Linked DNA regions of Saccharomyces cerevisiae S288C. Changing the gene in region 1 together with any one later gene gives a genetic interaction. Each region holds a gene or a part of one and is shown on either strand. Other genes may lie near its edges.

Region 1 (4,082 bases):
GCCCCAGTTGTCTTGGGTGCTGGTTACACTGATGGTATCACTTACTTGTCCATCATTCCAAACCCAAACAACAAAGAAGCACCAAACTTTAACATCAAGATCGTTGCCACCGATGGCTCTACCGTCAATGGTGCTTGCTCTTACGAAAATGGTGTCTACTCTGGCTCTGGCTCTGACGGTTGTACTGTTTCAGTTACTTCTGGTTCTGCTAACTTTGTCTTCTACTAGGCCTTTTTTCCTTGAATATTGCAAATAAGCTTTTGCTAGTACTTTTTTTACTCCGTTCATTTTATGGTTTATTTTTCAATTAGTTCGTTTTTCCACAATACAAAAAAACACAGTCCTTTGTACTATCCCTTTTATTTCATTATTTTTTCTTTTTTAAGATACCACTAGATATTATCATATATAGCATATTATATAACATAAAAAGTCAAGAAAAAAAATGTTTTTATCACTTTCTATAACTGCATATCTTTTTTTGCATTTCGAATGATTGCTTACACATCGCCATGCTGGGATTCCTCCTCTGGTGGTGAGACAAATGGACCTGCTAATTCCAATGCAGGTTCGTCAATGTTGTGGTGAGCGTATGACAAAACACCAATCCCACCGGCGTCCAGTAAGAAACATGGATTGTCTACCAAATGTCTGTAAGATTCCAATTTCACATATGGAACTGTGTCGTCATCATAAGATTTGACATTTTGAATTTCTTCAATCGTCTCACACTTCTTTTGCACACCCAGTCCAAACCAAATAGCAGCAAAATAACGCAATGCATGTCCGTGCGCAAAGACCATGATGTCTGATGCTCTGCCCTCACTCTGGTGCTTGCGGTGCAAGTTCTGGATTCTGGCAATAGCGCGGGAAAGTCTCAACCCAATTTGCTGAGTAGTCTCACCGTTCTCACACCCATCTCTCCAGATATTCCATGGCCTCTCCTTGTCCAAACCGCGTGACTTTCTCAATTCAATGATTTCTCGAGTCAGCATTCCCTCGTAGTCACCGTACTCCCACTCTCGCAAGTCGTCGTCTACCACCACACGGATCTTAGCTCTTTGCTCGTCGCTTAATGGTTTCAAAACCAAATCCACAGTTTGCCTGGCACGCAAACGTGGAGAGGTGAAGATATAAGTGATGTTGTCTGGATTCAAAAACTGATTATTGCGGAAAACACTCTCACCGGTCCTCAACATTTGGCCCTCACCGTAGGGCGTTAACGGTAGATCTGTCAAACCAGTATACTGGCCTGACTTGGACCATTCAGTTTGACCGTGTCTGACAATGATACATCTGGGGGTTAGCGAAGGCATTGTTGCTTGCAATTAAGTGTAGGTGTTTCCCTATCCACTTAGCTATGAACAAAATGTGCTTATCTGAGCTAATATTTTTTCATTTTTGTCCTATAAATAATAATGGAAAAAAAAAACTCATCGCGTGGTTGAACAGAAAAAAAACAATAAGAGTGAGTAAGCAGTGAAAAATGTAAGATTTACGCTTTATATAAGCAGATTTTGGTTTCCTTTATATATTTTTGCATTTGTCTATCCTTAACATTGGATAGCAATTTGGCGGTGGGTAGTTTATAACGTGTGTGCTCTCTCTTTAAGTAACGATGTCAAGAGATGTAAGGGCAGAGAAACTAGCCATATCACTATTGATTTTATCATTGTTTCTAATATTCCAATTAGTGGCTGAGATTTATCTCAATAATGGTGATCAGTACCATACAGAGACTAGCCCCTTTACAAGAGGAAGATCACATGTAACGCGTGTGCCCAACCATGATGCTAGTTTATCTATACCGTTTTTGGACAAGATCAACCAGTTTTGGCATGTAGGCGGTGCCACGCAAATTAGGAATATTCAGTCGATCAAATTGACTCAGGACCGTGATCAAGATAAACATGGATTAGTATTGTCCAATGGAATTGGCGACAACACCATCAATGACTTTGAGATTGTTTTCACTTTCAGAATTTCTCACGACCCCACTACACAACTCACTGGTGATGGAATGTGTTTTGCCATTACGCCCGAAAATGGGTTTCTCACACAGAATTTACAGTCGTCGTATGCGAAAAAGCAATACATGATGAATTCTCAGGGCGTCATAGCCGATAATACAGATCTGATGGGCTTCCCGAAAAATCTGCCTGGCCTATTTATTGTCTTGGATACGTATCGCAACCAAGGCCACGACCATAAGGAGGTACCCTTTATGGATGTGTTTATAAATGTGGCCCCAGAAAGCGATTGGTACGATATAAATAGTGATGGTGAACTCAGTACATCGCTGCGGCTTAATTCAAGAGGCCACATAAAACTCAAGAAAAATGCCCTGTGGAATCGAGTCACGAAACTAAGAATAATATATTTGGAAAGTATAAGCTTCCTGAAGATCGACGTGCAGTACGCAAAAGAGGGAAACTACTGGATTGAGTTATTTCAAACAACCGAAAATCTGTACTTGCCGAAAAACATGCACACGGGGCAAAGATACATTGGCTGTAGCGCATTAAATGGCCAATTAACGGAGACAGTGGAGCTGCTGGACGTATCCACTAGCGAATTCCATTGGAACGACATGGATGCGTCCATTGAGGACACCTATGATTACGCAAAGGAAGCTGAGCTATTCCTGGAGCAGGAATTTGGCGAGGTCCTTGACAGGGAACCCGATGAGTTCACCAAATGGAAAATGATCAAAGCTCAACCAAACATCAAGACTGGGTCACAGTCAGCTGAACAGAAAACTTCAAACAATCCTCACTCTCGGTTGTTCAAGGTCGTGCTGACCATATGGCATTATAGCGAGATTTTGCTATTGATCATGGGCATTTATCTTTTTTCTGCTTGCATAAGAGTTTTCCAAAGAAGGTTCAAAAAAATTAGATCCAGAAGAAAAAGGGCAGGCTCGCATTCTGTGGGGCTATTGCCCATGTAGCATTGCATAGGCACGCACATACATACATACACAAATAATACAATATAGGACGTTCATCTTAGGTAGCCAATTCACGGTCTTCTTGTGGTAGTGTTACTTGCGTTCGACGGCGGGAGGGTTCTTGATCGATCCAATATACTCTGTGGTGGGATGGCCAGAACGCTAGAATTCGTCTCAAACGTCCTGTTAGAGAATATTGTGGGCCTCGTAGACTGTATTGAATGAATGTCCGAGAAAGTAGACGACTTCACTGACGAGGAACAAAACGATACTAGCGGAATAACACTTGCGTTGTCGTTTTGTTGTTGCTGCTGTTGCTGCTGCTGCTGTCTTACTTTGCCTGTTGGTGGTTCATCCCATGCCACTCGACGGTCTCCTTCGTCATCGGATTCGCTCGAATGCAACGAATTTCGATCAACCAATGGTCGCAACGACGAACTGATGGTTGTTCCATCCGGATCCAACTCAGCACGCTTAACTCTTGTGGGGCCAGCCCTAGTGCCGCGTCTTGGTTTACTGCTCGAGACCGATGCGTTAGTTGTGGTAGTGGTGTTTATTATTTTTTTAACCCACACTGAAAGTTTGTTTCTTCTTCCCTGGGATGTATGATGACTGTTTGACATGCTAGGACTTTCCCTTGGCACCATGTATATTCACTTTTATTGTCTCTTGATCGAGCTATAACCAAATTTTTTTTTTTTTTTTTTTTTTTCGTTTTTATAATTTTTTCTTTGGTATTCAATTGTATATAGTGCTCAAACAGCAACGTACATAATAGCTAGCAAACAATAGATGAAATAATAGAATAATAACAAATAACTATATAAGAGTGGCAGGAAAAAAAATCAGGCGCACGATTAGCGCAAAACCAAATTACTAATTGGTCGACACAGCCGCGGGCTTAGAATTGGTTTGGTCTTCTCTTGAGGCCTTTAGCTTCTCAATGGTGGCATTGCCCAAGTCCAACCCGGTGGATACAATGGCTTTAGGGACGCTTTCAGATTTACTTAGATTGTTTTCATAGACAGTGGTGAAGCGTTGGTAGGTTTCGTTAAGCTTAGTCTTTGTTGGGTCGATGTACACAGACTGCAACTTGTCAGTTGTGGGCTTCACTATGGCGTCGTACTTTTCT
Region 2 (4,139 bases), on another chromosome or scaffold:
GTGACACTGTGACAATAAATTCAAACCGGTTATAGCGGTCTCCTCCGGTACCGGTTCTGCCACCTCCAATAGAGCTCAGTAGGAGTCAGAACCTCTGCGGTGGCTGTCAGTGACTCATCCGCGTTTCGTAAGTTGTGCGCGTGCACATTTCGCCCGTTCCCGCTCATCTTGCAGCAGGCGAAATTTTCATCACGCTGTAGGACGCAAAAAAAAAATAATTAATCGTACAAGAATCTTGGAAAAAAAATTGAAAAATTTTGTATAAAAGGGATGACCTAACTTGACTCAATGGCTTTTACACCCAGTATTTTCCCTTTCCTTGTTTGTTACAATTATAGAAGCAAGACAAAAACATATAGACAACCTATTCCTAGGAGTTATATTTTTTTACCCTACCAGCAATATAAGTAAAAAATAAAACATGTTGAGAACTCAAGCCGCCAGATTGATCTGCAACTCCCGTGTCATCACTGCTAAGAGAACCTTTGCTTTGGCCACCCGTGCTGCTGCTTACAGCAGACCAGCTGCCCGTTTCGTTAAGCCAATGATCACTACCCGTGGTTTGAAGCAAATCAACTTCGGTGGTACTGTTGAAACCGTCTACGAAAGAGCTGACTGGCCAAGAGAAAAGTTGTTGGACTACTTCAAGAACGACACTTTTGCTTTGATCGGTTACGGTTCCCAAGGTTACGGTCAAGGTTTGAACTTGAGAGACAACGGTTTGAACGTTATCATTGGTGTCCGTAAAGATGGTGCTTCTTGGAAGGCTGCCATCGAAGACGGTTGGGTTCCAGGCAAGAACTTGTTCACTGTTGAAGATGCTATCAAGAGAGGTAGTTACGTTATGAACTTGTTGTCCGATGCCGCTCAATCAGAAACCTGGCCTGCTATCAAGCCATTGTTGACCAAGGGTAAGACTTTGTACTTCTCCCACGGTTTCTCCCCAGTCTTCAAGGACTTGACTCACGTTGAACCACCAAAGGACTTAGATGTTATCTTGGTTGCTCCAAAGGGTTCCGGTAGAACTGTCAGATCTTTGTTCAAGGAAGGTCGTGGTATTAACTCTTCTTACGCCGTCTGGAACGATGTCACCGGTAAGGCTCACGAAAAGGCCCAAGCTTTGGCCGTTGCCATTGGTTCCGGTTACGTTTACCAAACCACTTTCGAAAGAGAAGTCAACTCTGACTTGTACGGTGAAAGAGGTTGTTTAATGGGTGGTATCCACGGTATGTTCTTGGCTCAATACGACGTCTTGAGAGAAAACGGTCACTCCCCATCTGAAGCTTTCAACGAAACCGTCGAAGAAGCTACCCAATCTCTATACCCATTGATCGGTAAGTACGGTATGGATTACATGTACGATGCTTGTTCCACCACCGCCAGAAGAGGTGCTTTGGACTGGTACCCAATCTTCAAGAATGCTTTGAAGCCTGTTTTCCAAGACTTGTACGAATCTACCAAGAACGGTACCGAAACCAAGAGATCTTTGGAATTCAACTCTCAACCTGACTACAGAGAAAAGCTAGAAAAGGAATTAGACACCATCAGAAACATGGAAATCTGGAAGGTTGGTAAGGAAGTCAGAAAGTTGAGACCAGAAAACCAATAAAGAGGAAAATAATATCAAGTGCTGGAAACTTTTTCTCTTGGAATTTTTGCAACATCAAGTCATAGTCAATTGAATTGACCCAATTTCACATTTAAGATTTTTTTTTTTTCATCCGACATACATCTGTACACTAGGAAGCCCTGTTTTTCTGAAGCAGCTTCAAATATATATATTTTTTACATATTTATTATGATTCAATGAACAATCTAATTAAATCGAAAACAAGAACCGAAACGCGAATAAATAATTTATTTAGATGGTGACAAGTGTATAAGTCCTCATCGGGACAGCTACGATTTCTCTTTCGGTTTTGGCTGAGCTACTGGTTGCTGTGACGCAGCGGCATTAGCGCGGCGTTATGAGCTACCCTCGTGGCCTGAAAGATGGCGGGAATAAAGCGGAACTAAAAATTACTGACTGAGCCATATTGAGGTCAATTTGTCAACTCGTCAAGTCACGTTTGGTGGACGGCCCCTTTCCAACGAATCGTATATACTAACATGCGCGCGCTTCCTATATACACATATACATATATATATATATATATATGTGTGCGTGTATGTGTACACCTGTATTTAATTTCCTTACTCGCGGGTTTTTCTTTTTTCTCAATTCTTGGCTTCCTCTTTCTCGAGTATATAATTTTTCAGGTAAAATTTAGTACGATAGTAAAATACTTCTCGAACTCGTCACATATACGTGTACATAATGTCTGAACCAGCTCAAAAGAAACAAAAGGTTGCTAACAACTCTCTAGAACAATTGAAAGCCTCCGGCACTGTCGTTGTTGCCGACACTGGTGATTTCGGCTCTATTGCCAAGTTTCAACCTCAAGACTCCACAACTAACCCATCATTGATCTTGGCTGCTGCCAAGCAACCAACTTACGCCAAGTTGATCGATGTTGCCGTGGAATACGGTAAGAAGCATGGTAAGACCACCGAAGAACAAGTCGAAAATGCTGTGGACAGATTGTTAGTCGAATTCGGTAAGGAGATCTTAAAGATTGTTCCAGGCAGAGTCTCCACCGAAGTTGATGCTAGATTGTCTTTTGACACTCAAGCTACCATTGAAAAGGCTAGACATATCATTAAATTGTTTGAACAAGAAGGTGTCTCCAAGGAAAGAGTCCTTATTAAAATTGCTTCCACTTGGGAAGGTATTCAAGCTGCCAAAGAATTGGAAGAAAAGGACGGTATCCACTGTAATTTGACTCTATTATTCTCCTTCGTTCAAGCAGTTGCCTGTGCCGAGGCCCAAGTTACTTTGATTTCCCCATTTGTTGGTAGAATTCTAGACTGGTACAAATCCAGCACTGGTAAAGATTACAAGGGTGAAGCCGACCCAGGTGTTATTTCCGTCAAGAAAATCTACAACTACTACAAGAAGTACGGTTACAAGACTATTGTTATGGGTGCTTCTTTCAGAAGCACTGACGAAATCAAAAACTTGGCTGGTGTTGACTATCTAACAATTTCTCCAGCTTTATTGGACAAGTTGATGAACAGTACTGAACCTTTCCCAAGAGTTTTGGACCCTGTCTCCGCTAAGAAGGAAGCCGGCGACAAGATTTCTTACATCAGCGACGAATCTAAATTCAGATTCGACTTGAATGAAGACGCTATGGCCACTGAAAAATTGTCCGAAGGTATCAGAAAATTCTCTGCCGATATTGTTACTCTATTCGACTTGATTGAAAAGAAAGTTACCGCTTAAGGAAGTATCTCGGAAATATTAATTTAGGCCATGTCCTTATGCACGTTTCTTTTGATACTTACGGGTACATGTACACAAGTATATCTATATATATAAATTAATGAAAATCCCCTATTTATATATATGACTTTAACGAGACAGAACAGTTTTTTATTTTTTATCCTATTTGATGAATGATACAGTTTCTTATTCACGTGTTATACCCACACCAAATCCAATAGCAATACCGGCCATCACAATCACTGTTTCGGCAGCCCCTAAGATCAGACAAAACATCCGGAACCACCTTAAATCAACGTCCCATATGAATCCTTGCAGCAAAGCCGCTCGGTGTTCTTTATTCATAAGCAACCTCATTAATCTATAGTCTGAAACTAATTTCCTTCTTGAGCTGCAGCCAATAATAAAAAATAATGGCGGCACTATACTACAACATAGGAGGATCACAATGATGTTTTCGATGCTGTAAACGTCCCTGAATCCATTTTGACCTGAATCAAACGAATGAATGGAAGCGGTATCGATATGTTGAATTGGCATTCTCGCCTCCAGGTCTATATTTTCAGCATCGTGCCTGTCTTCTTTCCTATTATCAGTTTTTTCTTGTTGCTTTCGTCGTATGCTTCGAGCTGGCTTTTCTATAATGGAGTTCTGTCCCGTGTCTGACTCCGAGCTTTGAGATTTAATTGGAGCTAGCACGAGGGGTTGTCCATGTTCTGGCAACGTTTTATTTTTCTTCTTGTTCATCTTGGTCAATGGAGAGGGCGTCTTGTGTCCTTCATAGCGTGAAAATGGATCAGACTTAGTTGAATTT

What was found. Genes that interact genetically often act in the same process or in processes that back each other up.
Region 2: mutations in SHB17 (region 1) and TAL1 impair growth when combined (synthetic growth defect), as found in Saccharomyces cerevisiae (one study listed by BioGRID).

What each region holds. Positions count from the first base shown.
Region 1 is NC_001143.9:520,397-524,478, forward strand, and holds SHB17 (sedoheptulose-bisphosphatase), read right to left. Parts: upstream 1,317-4,082; coding exon 501-1,316; downstream 1-500. Other genes in the region: SUN family protein UTH1, read left to right, coding at 1-228; UIP5 (Uip5p), read left to right, coding at 1,619-2,950; YKR045C (uncharacterized protein), read right to left, coding at 3,022-3,573; PLN1 (Pln1p), read right to left, coding at 3,827-4,082. UniProt on the Saccharomyces cerevisiae protein: Sedoheptulose 1,7-bisphosphatase involved in riboneogenesis. Dephosphorylates sedoheptulose 1,7-bisphosphate (SBP), which is converted via the non-oxidative pentose phosphate pathway to ribose-5-phosphate.
Region 2 is NC_001144.5:835,536-839,674, reverse strand, and holds TAL1 (sedoheptulose-7-phosphate:D-glyceraldehyde-3-phosphate transaldolase TAL1), read left to right. Parts: upstream 1-2,317; coding exon 2,318-3,325; downstream 3,326-4,139. Other genes in the region: ILV5 (ketol-acid reductoisomerase), read left to right, coding at 422-1,609; BUD8 (Bud8p), read right to left, coding at 3,512-4,139. UniProt on the Saccharomyces cerevisiae protein: Transaldolase is important for the balance of metabolites in the pentose-phosphate pathway.